Saccharomyces cerevisiae S288C: one gene and its partner. The protein of the gene in region 1 purifies or fractionates together with the protein of each later gene. This does not show direct contact. Each region holds a gene or a part of one and is shown in the gene's direction. Other genes may lie near its edges.

Evidence for each region.
Region 2: the proteins of VRG4 (region 1) and KEI1 purify together in Saccharomyces cerevisiae (affinity purification with mass spectrometry, with the first as the bait; one large-scale study listed by BioGRID). This does not show direct contact.

What each region holds. Positions count from the first base shown.
Region 1 is NC_001139.9:74,084-82,481, forward strand, and holds VRG4 (GDP-mannose transporter), read left to right. Parts: upstream 1-2,810; coding exon 2,811-3,824; downstream 3,825-8,398. Other genes in the region: SDT1 (nucleotidase), read right to left, coding at 3,932-4,774; Golgi transport complex subunit COG1, read right to left, coding at 5,029-6,282; EDC1 (Edc1p), read right to left, coding at 6,576-7,103; NIF3 (uncharacterized protein), read right to left, coding at 7,343-8,209; BOL2 (Bol2p), read left to right, coding at 8,291-8,398. UniProt on the Saccharomyces cerevisiae protein: Involved in the import of GDP-mannose from the cytoplasm into the Golgi lumen. Defective copy causes severe glycosylation defect and abnormal retention of soluble endoplasmic reticulum proteins. Involved in vanadate sensitivity.
Region 2 is NC_001136.10:1,210,562-1,217,125, forward strand, and holds KEI1 (Kei1p), read left to right. Parts: upstream 1-2,286; coding exon 2,287-2,316; intron 2,317-2,417; coding exon 2,418-3,053; downstream 3,054-6,564. Other genes in the region: MOR1 (Mor1p), read right to left, coding at 1,877-2,275; trifunctional aldehyde reductase/carbonyl reductase (NADPH)/glucose 1-dehydrogenase (NADP(+)) YPR1, read left to right, coding at 3,343-4,281; XRS2 (Xrs2p), read right to left, coding at 4,455-6,564. UniProt on the Saccharomyces cerevisiae protein: Regulatory component of the inositol phosphorylceramide (ICP) synthase which catalyzes the addition of a phosphorylinositol group onto ceramide to form inositol phosphorylceramide, an essential step in sphingolipid biosynthesis.

The sequences.
Region 1 (8,398 bases):
TTTTTCATACGTATAACTCTCAAAGGACAGTATAGACATATCCCTGGGGGCTTTTAGAGTGCAGCCTCTGGAGGTCTACACACGTTAATAGTCTCAAAAAATACGCTAATATTTGTTAAATAAGCGAATAGGTCTTCATGTGCGCCTGAATCAGTAGCTGTCTACATGGTAAAGAGTAATTTGTTGACACGAAAATTGATAGTTGGTTAAAAAATATTGCAGATTCAATACTACATGAAAGACTTAATTACAAGATAGACTGATGGTGAAAAAAGAATGTACAGGTTTACCGGCAAACATTTTGAGAAATTAAAGCCCAAAAAATTTTGTGTACCTTATGATTTTCCTCCTCTGTCTAATCCAGTTCCGTATCTGGGTACTGCTGCTTCTTTGTTAAAATCGCAGCATGCTTCCCATTGTTGGGAATTGACTTTGAGCAATATTTAGTTAGTAACTACCATATAGGTGACTGTCGTGTGCCAGCTATAACAGAAATAATCCTTTCACCATGATCATTGTAAACGATCAAAGAAAACTCTGAAGGGACTATAATGCAGTCTTCATGCAGACACTTGAAATATACGACATTAGTAGCTCCCAAGGTAGTAGGCACATCCTGCGTAAATTCTCCACAACCATGTTGTATATATAGCAGCCATAGTATGACCGAGCACATGGGACGTACGAATAAAAGATTTTCTCAGATCCCTGAACTTGAGCGTCAACCATGAATTTCTCTACTTTTTTTTCGAGCAGTAATTACCATTTTAGGTTTGATTACAATCACAGCTTCAGCAGAATTTGATTTCGACGTAGGCTATGAAGAGTTTGTCCGTATCAACCCTGATAAGACCTTCTTAGAAAGTGAGATTGGCCTTTACGTTGGTTGGACCGAGGGTAGTCAACGGCAGATAACAACGATACCACATAATTCCACGTTGGCGGCATCACTACAAGAGTAGAATGGTTGTGGTGGTAATGGCACAGAAACCTCCATCGCTACGTCCACACTTACGATGAGTGGTATACCTATCGCTACGATAATGAAGCACAGAAAAAGTGTACTTATCATATTACCGCAACTATGTACGTGAGGTGTAAATTATGGCTCTCATAGGACATAAGTAGGACAGAAATTGAAATTTTTGTGTTGGCAGAGCGAAAGAAACTTGAATTCGTTTATGAGGAATAAATTCTCAGCTCCATCCATGGTTCCAGTTGACGCTATGATACGCAAATTCCTTTGTGATACAGGTATCATTTCTGCAATTCCTCGTAGATTGTTGATCATACCATAAGATTGATGCTGGGGAAAGTGGAGAAGCTAACTTAACGATTGAGGCCTTGGCAAACCCTGTTAAACCAGTACTATCGGCCTTAACATGCGACTTAGAGAGAGAGAGAGAGAGAGATGTTTGCGTTTGCGTCATGATAGAGATGCTACATCCACATAGTTGTTGTAGACATGTTTAAAGGTACAATTCTGCAACAACGCCTTGAAATTTTCCAAAACTAACCAAGCACATTGGAGTTACGCTTATATAGTAAGCCACTTCACTTGCGTTGCTGTAAAGGTTGATAACTACAGGTAGGAATTAATGAATGTTAAATAAAAAAGGGAAATACCATCATCTCGACAAGAAAGGCAAAATAACTTTTCAATCTCACCAAGACGCGCGAACGAAACTCGTGCGTCTATATTAGTATCTTGACGGCGCTTTTACATCATTAAAGGTGTAATAAAACTGAAGTCATGCGATGGCACTGAAATAATCAAAGTAACTATTTGTGATGGCATGCACTGTGATATGATCTCAAGGAAAAAAATGCAATGTCGGGCGCCAATACTTATGATCATGCTTAGTCTCGACATTGACCTTGCTTGCTACAGTAATCTGGTGTCCGAGTAGTGACATCTAGGTACCGGTGAGAACTATATCTTCATTACTACACTTGTCGCCCCTGAATATTATCGCTACACACGCGAAAGAGCTCTTGTTAAAGTTACTCTCGCATCATTGCGGTACATGTTTTGCATATTCATCTGAAGTAGGAAAGGGTATAAGCAGTATATGATGTACCATCTGCATAAGCGGTGTTTAATGCGTACCTATCGTTTAAGAACAAAAGGAACACACCCACACCCGCTCCAATACCATATTGAGAGAATAATGAGGTAACATATGCTTCTATTTGGTTCGATAAGACGGCTACTAGTCCAAAAAAAGTCAAACAACAATTTCAACAGCTACATTCTGAAGATAGAACGCATTTTTGCCTGAATATTGCAACTCAATAGACATTCTAAAGTGCTACGAGAAAAAAGCTTGTAATGGACCATGGCAATGTGCGCCATATATATATGCGGCTCCCTTATGAGTAGAAGAAAATATATGACTGGTGGTACAAAGTGGCATGGTGGTATATAGATGTAGGAACACCATTTGAGTTTGCCATAATGATTAAATTTCCCTTTTTATAAAGAATTAGCCGCCCATAACACGAAAAATATCACAGTTGACGAAAGAAGACACGTCGCCTAAACGCGTAATGAATCGCAATATACGAAAAGCTAAACGGGTTTTTCAGAATCCTCTTACCCAGCCTTGGATAATAGTTTTGGCCGAAAAAAAAAAAAAGAAAGAAAAAAATTGAAATTTCGCGATCCGAACAAACAATGAACAGAAAAACAGAATATATATAACGCTGCCAAGCCTATTTCTTGTTGCCGATTAATTGTTGACATCCTCTTAATTACCAAAAGAGCCTAAGAAAACAAACACACTAACCACACAGTATCTTTCGCCCGAATGTCTGAATTGAAAACAGGTCATGCAGGCCATAACCCTTGGGCTTCAGTTGCCAATTCCGGTCCGATCTCTATTTTATCCTACTGTGGTTCCTCTATTTTAATGACGGTGACTAACAAGTTCGTCGTCAATTTGAAGGATTTCAACATGAACTTTGTCATGCTTTTCGTGCAATCTTTGGTTTGTACTATAACCTTGATTATCCTACGTATACTGGGCTATGCGAAGTTCCGTTCATTAAACAAAACAGACGCCAAGAACTGGTTCCCTATTTCCTTTTTACTGGTCTTGATGATCTACACCTCTTCGAAGGCTTTACAATACTTGGCTGTTCCAATTTACACCATTTTCAAGAATTTGACTATTATCTTGATTGCTTATGGTGAGGTTCTCTTTTTTGGTGGCTCTGTCACCTCCATGGAATTGTCATCATTTTTGTTGATGGTCCTTTCTTCTGTCGTTGCAACTTGGGGTGACCAGCAAGCTGTGGCTGCCAAGGCTGCTTCATTGGCTGAAGGAGCAGCCGGTGCTGTTGCCTCCTTTAACCCAGGTTATTTCTGGATGTTCACCAACTGTATCACTTCTGCATTATTCGTTCTTATAATGAGAAAGAGAATTAAGTTAACTAACTTCAAGGATTTCGACACTATGTTTTACAACAATGTTTTGGCTCTACCTATTCTATTGCTGTTTTCTTTCTGTGTGGAAGATTGGTCTTCAGTTAATTTGACCAATAACTTTTCTAACGATTCGCTAACTGCTATGATCATCAGTGGTGTTGCATCCGTCGGTATTTCTTACTGTTCCGGTTGGTGTGTTCGTGTTACTTCGTCTACTACATATTCGATGGTAGGGGCTTTGAACAAGCTGCCAATTGCCTTGTCTGGTTTGATTTTCTTTGATGCTCCAAGAAACTTCTTATCTATTCTCTCCATTTTTATTGGTTTCCTATCAGGTATTATTTATGCTGTTGCCAAACAAAAGAAGCAACAAGCCCAACCTTTACGTAAATGAGAACTTACGGGGGGTGCAATTTATTTTTTTTTTTTGGTTTATTTTATTTTATAGAGGCATCTAATGCAAGTAGATTTATATACAATTATACTTAAAATTGATATACCTTAGAACAGGTCGGACACAACGTGTGGTAACTCCAATATATCACTAATGACAATAGCGCCTTCTGGTGTTTGCCCCAAAATTTCATTTACTTCATTCTCAACTAAATGAATACATGTTTTCATGCCCAATTTGATACCTGTCTCGATGTTTTTCCCACTGTCATCTATAAAATAAGCATTCTCGTATCTTGCCAACCCGCTTTCCTTCATGGCTTTTTCAAATGCTTTAACATGTGGTTTGCAGACCAGCGTATCTGTCCTAGAGTAGTCACAATATGTCAATCCATCAAATAAATCCGCTATACCCAACAATCTCAGGCAACGTATTGCGTGGTTTTTATAAGCGTTGGTGAAAAGCCACAATTTATCAATCTTTCCCGATTGTCTCAATCTCAACAGCATATTCCTTAATGGTATATCAGGTTTCAAGATATCTTGTAGTGGTAAGGAATCATCCACAAGCCGGTTATATTCCAGTGCGTTCACTTTGTGGAACATTACAAGTCCCCTTATGGCAAGTCCATACTCTTTGTAGTAAGAGTTATTCAAAACGTGAGCATCTTCAGGTGATAGTTTCAAGTGTGTTTGAAAGAACCTCAGTATAGATTGTTGCATAAGATCGTGAATTCTCGTGGATGATTTATAGAGACAGTTGTCGATATCAAAAAAGAAAACTTTTAAGTTCGGGTTTTGAGGTGTAGCAGAAATATCTTGATCGATCGGAAATGTCACTTTCGAACCTGGATGAGTCAATGATTCAAGATGTGCTTTATTCTTGGCAATTTGTTCGTTCACCTCATTCTGATAGGTTGCCAAATCGGATGCAGTATATTCAACAGTCATGAAGCCTAGTAATGATTCGGTCCAAGAGCTTACTCATGTATTCCGAAATTAATTCAGGTGAAATGGGGGAGTAATATGATATCAAGAAGGCGATCACTTATTGAAGTCCACATAGATACACACAGATAAACATATATATATTATGTATATATATATATATATATATATATATATATATATGTATATATCAACGCCCATACCATTATCATTATCAATAAGTTTGCGAGGCGGGTACCCTCCCTCGTGCTATTATATTACTGTTGCCTTAATTGAGTAATTTGATCGATGACTAATTGCAAGAGATTGTGATTGTTGTACGAAGTTATAAAATCATCCACAACACTCGTTGAGTTTTCCAGTGGTGAAGGTAAGCGGGATGAGATCTGAGTCTTAAACTCTTGCAATTGAGTAATCAATTTATTTCTCAAATCTGTCAGTGTCTCTTGAGGGCATTTATACAATTCTAAGTTTTGTAGGATTTCAATCGTAGGCTGCACCGTTTGATAAATTTGCAACGTGGTATCATTGGTTAAACCTTTTGAATAGAATACCGCTGTATCAATATATTGTTTCAATGCATCATCATCAAGTGGAGATACAGTGCCATCATTGAGGTTCGTATCATTATCATGGAAGATATCTAATTTATGAAGAGTTTCAGGCTCCTTAAGCTTGGCTCTCAAAGTAGAGAGTGTATCCAAATGTGTGTTTATTTCTTTCACGGTTCTCCGAATGAGATGGTCTCTAAAGGTGGACGAATTCACAAAATCGACAACAATCGCGTCCTTATATTGCTGATTGGAGTGATATTGATGATCTTTGCTGTTGGCACTTGATATCAGTAACGCTTGAACGTTATCGTTAAATAGTGTCTCGAATAGGGATTCATTGAATATAGAAAGTAAATCATCGTCCCACTTCGAGGAAAACTCCGTGTTTAGTAAATTGTATAGTTTTACCCACTGTAGTAAAGTTAAGTTTAATGTCTTCATAGAGTCCACCAAGAACTTCTGTAGTCGACAACATTTGTCCTTGACAAGCGCTTCAAATTTGGAAGGAACTGGTATCAAAGATAATTCGTGGAAATTCAACAGTAGCTCGTCGAATATCCGCGACGGAGTAGTGGAAGTAACTATACGATTACAGAAGTTGTTGATGGAGATGGTCCAATTTGAAATTACTAAAATGTTTTGCGATGGTATGCTGACTTTTTCTTCGTCACGAGGTGGTGATATATGGGTAGTGGTTTGGTATGGTAGTGGAGTTAACTTATTCAACTGAAATTTTTCATCATTGAAACACAGGGATTTAAAATCTTGATCAACATTTTTCAAATTGAGCGACAAGTCATTAACAGAATCGGTCAAGCTTAAGATCTTGTTATAGTTCTTTAGCAAATTCTTTTGGAAGGCCTCATTGGTTTTAGTCAAATCGTTCTGTAACTCCAATTGATAATCTTTAATCTGTGGAATATGAGAATCGCGAAACAATGGTAAGACTTCATCCATTTTCTATCGTATTGGTTTTTTTTAGGTTTTCTACCACAAGATTTGTTGTACGAATGTGTTATTTATTATTCACCGCCATGTTTCATTTTTCTTCAGCATAATGATGAACTGTAACAGAAAATAGGAAAAAAAAATTGTCATCTGAGAAATTGCTTTGGATGACCAGATCCAAAACAGACATAAGCATTCGTATAATTGGTACATAGGTATATATCAAATAAAAATATGCATTATTCTAAAAAAAAAAAAAAAAAAAAAAAAAAAAAAATCAAAAATGTCTCTCTAAAGGGTGATTATAAAAAACTTGGTTTGGGCAAGTTTTTAGCCTCCCTTGGACCATTAGTGGCGAAAGTGGAGCCTGCATAAGAGTGACTGAGTTTTTTGGCACTGCCATTACAACCCATTGGTATTATCCCTTGAGAGCCATGCGGGGATTGTTTCTGGTTCAGAAGCAGATTCTTTAGGTTCTGACTCAGTAAACGAGTATCATCTTTGTTGTTCTGTCGTGGCGTTTCTTTATTATTCTGTCTGTTTTTTTTACCTAAAGTAGTTGTAGAGGAAGGGGAAGAAGGTGGAGAGTGCTTCTTTTGATTAAATGATGGTTTCTTGTTGGAAGAATGGCCGAAGTTAGGTTTCTGACCGTTAGGAAGAGTTTGAGGAGGTGGTATATCTGTGATATAGTTGTTATTATTGGCGTTCTTAGCAGCATTTCCCCTCGCACGATTATTTCTAGTTTTTTGTTTGATTAGATTATTTGTCTTGTTCCTGCCAGCCGATGGCAACAGCCTGGAGCTGTTGAAATACATGGTATCCGTCGACATGCCTTGTAATATTTGTGTGAGTATATTTGTGTGCTAAGTGTAATTACGTTACGCTTTGCTGAGTACTTCGTCTTCAATACAGAGTATGTTATTGTCCTTGTTATTTGAAGACTTTTACCTTTTCTATCCGTATTTCTCTATCCGATACAACAACATCATTTTACACGAACAGCCGGATGATAAAACTGTAGTACGTATGGTATTTGTGATATCCTATATAGCCATATAATTACTAGCAGCTATGCAACAGTCAAAGGATCGCAATCCATTTTGCTTACGACTACTTCGTGGCCCTCATCTTGCAACAAGCCCTTCATAACGTCTTGAAGGAATCCACGCTCAGTATTTGAGTGGTTGCAAACAATAACGGTCTTGCCCATTTCTTTCCACTTCAGTACTTCATGATGTGACATTTCTCCCGTATAGTAAAGGTCTACGTCCTCTTTTAGTTGCTTAAACACGCCAGAACCGCTCCCGGCACAGACAGCGACTTTTTTGATTTTGAGTTGATTCCATGCGGATGGAGCAGCAAGAGATGCTACTTGTACATAGGGAACCCGTAAAACACGCTTGACATTTTTGACAATTTGCTCCAAAGAGATGTCTTTATTGAATTCTACGAATCTACCGTAGCCAATCAAGTCGTCAGTTTCGCCACTTACAGTTTCCAAGGCATAAGACTTTGCGACGTTCTCTCCGTTGTTCAAACCCCTAACCAACCAGTCATTTACACCGCCACGAGCGGCATCTACGGCAGTGTGAGGGCAGTATACGGATATTCCGTACTGGATTAGCTTTATAGCTGTCTCGTGTTGTGGGTTTGTATGTGGGCTTAATCTGTTCCAGCTTGGGAAAATAAAAGGATGGTAAGCAACAATTACGTTGCAGTTAGCATCCACAGCTTCTTGAGCAACTGACTTCGTGAGGTCTACAGTCAAAAGGACCTTTGTTTTAGCGTTTGCATCGGCAGTGGTGACTTGTGCAGTGGAACAATCGATGAGAAGACCCGTATTGTCCCAGCTCTTGTCTGCGTACTTTTGAGGGTAGAACTTGGTAATGCTACGCACAAGTTTGTCCAATTGTGCTCTAGTAATAGCTCTGCTCATTGCGTTTCGGTGGACTCTTGTTCTGTTTCCTTCCGACTGTGTATTGGAATAAGTTTTTCGGTGTTATATATATACATATATATGACAGGTGAAAGAATTGAAAAGGTGAAAATAAATGACGAATTTGCAAAATCACATTTCCTAACAACTCAGTGGAGAGAAACAAAGCGCCAACGACACTATAAGATG
Region 2 (6,564 bases), on another chromosome or scaffold:
ATTAAGGTATCACGAGACACATGGAATACTAAGAATATGCGTAGTTTAGAACCTCCGAGATCGAAGAAACGAATTCACCTGATTGCAGCTGTAAAAGCAGTAAAATCAATCAAACCAATACGGACAACCTTACGATACGATGAGGCAATCACCTATAATAAAGATATTAAAGAAAAAGAAAAATATATCGAGGCATACCACAAAGAAGTCAATCAACTGTTGAAGATGAAAACTTGGGACACTGACGAATATTATGACAGAAAAGAAATAGACCCTAAAAGAGTAATAAACTCAATGTTTATCTTCAACAAGAAACGTGACGGTACTCATAAAGCTAGATTTGTTGCAAGAGGTGATATTCAGCATCCTGACACTTACGACTCAGGCATGCAATCCAATACCGTACATCACTATGCATTAATGACATCCCTGTCACTTGCATTAGACAATAACTACTATATTACACAATTAGACATATCTTCGGCATATTTGTATGCAGACATCAAAGAAGAATTATACATAAGACCTCCACCACATTTAGGAATGAATGATAAGTTGATACGTTTGAAGAAATCACTTTATGGATTGAAACAAAGTGGAGCGAACTGGTACGAAACTATCAAATCATACCTGATACAACAATGTGGTATGGAAGAAGTTCGTGGATGGTCATGCGTATTTAAAAACAGTCAAGTGACAATTTGTTTATTCGTAGATGATATGGTATTGTTTAGCAAAAATCTAAATTCAAACAAAAGAATTATAGAGAAGCTTAAGATGCAATACGACACCAAGATTATAAATCTAGGCGAAAGTGATGAGGAAATTCAATATGACATACTTGGCTTAGAAATCAAATATCAAAGAGGTAAATACATGAAATTAGGTATGGAAAACTCATTAACTGAGAAAATACCCAAATTAAACGTACCTTTGAATCCAAAAGGAAGAAAACTTAGCGCTCCAGGTCAACCAGGTCTTTATATAGACCAGGATGAACTAGAAATAGATGAAGATGAATACAAAGAGAAGGTACATGAAATGCAAAAGTTGATTGGTCTAGCTTCATATGTTGGATATAAATTTAGATTTGACTTACTATACTACATCAACACACTTGCTCAACATATACTATTCCCCTCTAGGCAAGTTTTAGACATGACATATGAGTTAATACAATTCATGTGGGACACTAGAGATAAACAATTAATATGGCACAAAAACAAACCTACCAAGCCAGATAATAAACTAGTCGCAATAAGCGATGCTTCATATGGTAACCAACCATATTACAAGTCACAAATTGGTAACATTTTCCTACTCAACGGAAAAGTGATTGGAGGAAAGTCGACAAAGGCTTCGTTAACATGCACTTCAACTACAGAAGCAGAAATACACGCAGTCAGTGAAGCTATACCGCTATTGAATAACCTCAGTCACCTTGTGCAAGAACTTAACAAGAAACCAATTATTAAAGGCTTACTTACTGATAGTAGATCAACGATCAGTATAATTAAGTCTACAAATGAAGAGAAATTTAGAAACAGATTTTTTGGCACAAAGGCAATGAGACTTAGAGATGAAGTATCAGGTAATAATTTATACGTATACTACATCGAGACCAAGAAGAACATTGCTGATGTGATGACAAAACCTCTTCCGATAAAAACATTTAAACTATTAACTAACAAATGGATTCATTAGATCTATTACATTATGGGTGGTATGTTGGAATAGAAATCAACTATCATCTACTAACTAGTATTTACATTACTAGTATATTATCATATACGGTGTTAGAAGATGACGCAAATGATGAGAAATAGTCATCTAAATTAGTGGAAGCTGAAACGCAAGGATTGATAATGTAATAGGATCAATGAATATAAACATATAAAATGATGATAATAATATTTATAGAATTGTGTAGAATTGCAGATTCCCTTTTATGGATTCCTAAATCCTTGAGGAGAACTTCTAGTATATTCTGTATACCTAATATTATAGCCTTTATCAACAATGGAATCCCAACAATTATCTCAACATTCACATATTTCTCAAAGCATATATGTAGTATATATACATATACATATATATATTTATATAGGTTTGGGAACCTATGTTTTTTATTGTACCAAACGCATCCCTCTTCAATAATCTTCGAAAAAAAAGTGCACAACAAGCGGGAAAATCTGTGTAAAGCTGTATAAGTGATCTGTACAAAAACTACGAAGAAAAGAAATAATACCAGGGAGGAACTACCAATTGTAACCATTAACCTTAGTTATGAGATCATCTCTTCTAACCCTTCCAAAAGTATGTTTCCGGCAAACGCTATAAATTTTTGTTAACTTGTAAGGATTCGAAGCAAAGCACAATTTTACTAACCTGTTCTCAAACATATTTTTTTTTCATAGTCTTTTTTGGGGTTTATGCCGCTATACCTTGCAGTTGAGATTGTCTTAGGTATTTCCATTCTAAACAAATGCAGTGGTGCTTATGGTATTTTAGCATTGTTCACGGGTCATCCGTTGGATTTTATGCAATGGATAGCATATCTTTGGTCGGTATTTACATTAATCGTATTCTCACAAGGGCTGTATTTGATTCATAAGCCAAACTTGCTGGTATTTTCGCAAATCTGCGTACTTTATACAATCGATACCATTTCCACTTGTTTTTTTACTCTATGGTTTACCACGCAATGGTTCACCTTGGAAGACACTGCTAATATTGATGGAAATAATGCACTACAAAGTAACCCAATATCGACAGGTAAGCTGACAGAACGTGGTATTGATATAAGTAAACAAAGTGCAACTGAAAGCTACGAATATACCATGACTATTTTAATTACGTTGGTGTCATTGATATTCAGGTTCTACTTTAACTTCATTTTGGCATCTTTTGTTCAAGAATTGTTACACCACCCCAAATATTTAGTTGATAGGGATGACGTAGAACAAAACTTGAAAAACAAGCCTATTTGGAAAAGACTGTGGGCTAAGAGCCAAAAAGGTTGTTATAAGCTATGTAAGAATTTGTTAGAGTAAATAGTAAAATAAAGCCCTAGCGTTATAGCGTTTTACACTGATGAAGAAATGTTTCTATTCTGACATCATAAAATCATTCTCACTGATGCTATTGTCACTTTTCATCACGTGTGTATTTAAGTAGCTCTTACGTAATTTTGAAAAAAAAGGAAAAAGGAAACTATATAGCACGCAATTCCCTATTTGGTTGCAATTCAATTCCGTGAAACCCTTTTCTTTTCTAAAGTGATAATAAAGTAACTTTGCAATATAATCAGGTCGCAAATATACCCACAGATAATAATCTACCATGCCTGCTACGTTAAAGAATTCTTCTGCTACATTAAAACTAAATACTGGTGCCTCCATTCCAGTGTTGGGTTTCGGCACTTGGCGTTCCGTTGACAATAACGGTTACCATTCTGTAATTGCAGCTTTGAAAGCTGGATACAGACACATTGATGCTGCGGCTATCTATTTGAATGAAGAAGAAGTTGGCAGGGCTATTAAAGATTCCGGAGTCCCTCGTGAGGAAATTTTTATTACTACTAAGCTTTGGGGTACGGAACAACGTGATCCGGAAGCTGCTCTAAACAAGTCTTTGAAAAGACTAGGCTTGGATTATGTTGACCTATATCTGATGCATTGGCCAGTGCCTTTGAAAACCGACAGAGTTACTGATGGTAACGTTCTGTGCATTCCAACATTAGAAGATGGCACTGTTGACATCGATACTAAGGAATGGAATTTTATCAAGACGTGGGAGTTGATGCAAGAGTTGCCAAAGACGGGCAAAACTAAAGCCGTTGGTGTCTCTAATTTTTCTATTAACAACATTAAAGAATTATTAGAATCTCCAAATAACAAGGTGGTACCAGCTACTAATCAAATTGAAATTCATCCATTGCTACCACAAGACGAATTGATTGCCTTTTGTAAGGAAAAGGGTATTGTTGTTGAAGCCTACTCACCATTTGGGAGTGCTAATGCTCCTTTACTAAAAGAGCAAGCAATTATTGATATGGCTAAAAAGCACGGCGTTGAGCCAGCACAGCTTATTATCAGTTGGAGTATTCAAAGAGGCTACGTTGTTCTGGCCAAATCGGTTAATCCTGAAAGAATTGTATCCAATTTTAAGATTTTCACTCTGCCTGAGGATGATTTCAAGACTATTAGTAACCTATCCAAAGTGCATGGTACAAAGAGAGTCGTTGATATGAAGTGGGGATCCTTCCCAATTTTCCAATGAGCGCGCTACATTACAGTTAATGCCTCCAGCAACCTGTAGTGCTTCTTTAAACCGATCCGATACAGCTGAAACAAACATTGATTTTACTAATTTTCATATAATATATACACATATATCGAATGATAATGCAAAATATAATTTAATGAAATTGGAAATACTCGGAAAATTTATCATTATCCTTTTCTTCTTTTGAACGTAAACTTCGGACCGTCGTCATCGTCGTCGTCGCCATCACCGTTATTAGAAGCCCCAAAAGAGCCACGTGATCTACTAGTTGCGCTTCTACTGTGTCTACTTTGCTTGGAACATTCTTCTGACAAGTTTGGCCGTAAGTTCATTTCCTTCACCACAAAAAGATTACGATTATTTTCTCTGTGATTTAGTCTATCGCTTTTATCATCAATATCACCCAGATCATCTTCATCAGTAATAAAAATTTTGTTTTTTAGTGGTTGAACGCTGGCTGCAGTACCTGAACAACGAGAAAAAGAAAACGAATCTTCTTCTCCTTCATTTGAACTATCCTCATTCGTGAATCTGTTTAGAGCTTGAGATCTTTTCTGGATAGTGTTTGAGTTTATATTATCGGACATAAATGTATTCGATCCAAATCTTTCCATCTCCGTCAAAGCAAACATATCTTCGTTTTCTTCTGTGCCCCATTTTGTAGTTGTATCCTTTTTGGAGTATTTTTTTAACGGAACATAATTTCTAGTGATTAAAAAGGCTGCATTTCGTATAAAATCTGAGCTTTGAGTGTTATTTTTACCCTCTTCTTTGTGCGCCTTTGATTTTGGACGTACCTTGACAAAAGTCTTGAAATTCTTGCGTTTATGCCATTCTGGCTCCATTAGGCTATTTTCCCATTTTTCAGTTGTTCTGCTTGTTTTGTTTCCCTCACTATCAAATGATTTCCTCAGTAAATTGTTACTAGGTTCTACAATAGCCAAATTTTTTAGCTGATTAATAGCTTCCTCGCTCAACTCCTCATCCTTCAATTCAACAATGGTTGACTTAACTCTTTTGACCTCTCTATTTTTAGTTTCTTGAATAGCTTCAACAAATGCGTGCGGCGTACCAGATTTCTCTTTAATAGATAACTCTTTTACAGGTGACTTACAATTTTCTTGTAATGGAGATGAAATTTCTCGTGAATAATTAGAAAGTTTACGGATGTTTTTAGAGGGTTGCTCTATATTCTGGTGATGATTCACCCTAAAATTCTTAGTAACTTCAGCATCATCCATCGAATTCACAGCAGCTGTTTCATAGTCAGCGGAGTTCGAAGATATGGTTTGAGAGCCAATCCCTGCTACCTCCGGCAATGACGGCTGTGGTAACTTATGTGACTGTAGCGACTTATCCAACGAATCCTCACTCGTGTTCACAGTACCTAAGTTGGGGCTACTGACAATTATAGCACCAGGGCTACTGTGACCACTTTTCTTTCCAATATCTTCAGTCGGCTTTAGTGCGTTTTGAAGAAATGGGGCGTGCTTTTCATCTGCCTCTGCAATGTTGGGACTTGAAATGACAGTCTTTGATTCTGCGCCACAATTAAGTCTCTTAGCGTCAGTTAAAGACCTATTTTCTGATAGAGTCTTAGTACTCAAACCTCCAGCAAAAAAATCAAGACTATCGAGTGGTAGTACTCTACGTCTATTTAATTTTCGCTTCTTCGAGACTACTGGACTAGCTTCAACTTCAGGTGCACGAGATGTTTTCAAAATAGTAGACATTCCTTCAGAAATTTGATCAAATTTACCGTTATCTAGAGTTCTTGAAGATGCACCCTTCATATTAATCACTGCGCTTAAGGTGCCATCTATTATTGATGTTAACATCGTTTTGATAGTACATAGAATTTTCCCATTTTCTTTCTTATCTGTAGTTGTCAAAATCAGGTATTCTGTTGATGCTTCCAAGCTGTCAACATATTTATATAAACTATCAATGTTGTCAAATGCAAATAAATTTATATTGAACGTCCGCAGGAGAGATGATAGACGTGGTTCACTTTTGATAGTAGTTAACACTCTGATATTATTCAGCCTCATAAACTTCGAAAGCAAAATATTTGGATCAAAATCAAAAACATTGTACTCCGGATTACTAATCATATCGTTCCACATTTCATCAAATTTTAAATTAGTTTTAGATGTGGGAAGAAGAGTATTACACAATTCCATCAGAAACCGTGATTTTTTCATGGGTATAGTACTAACAAGGGCATACAATTCCCGTATGCTGTTGTCCTCGCTCTTTGGGTAATCGCTAATCATC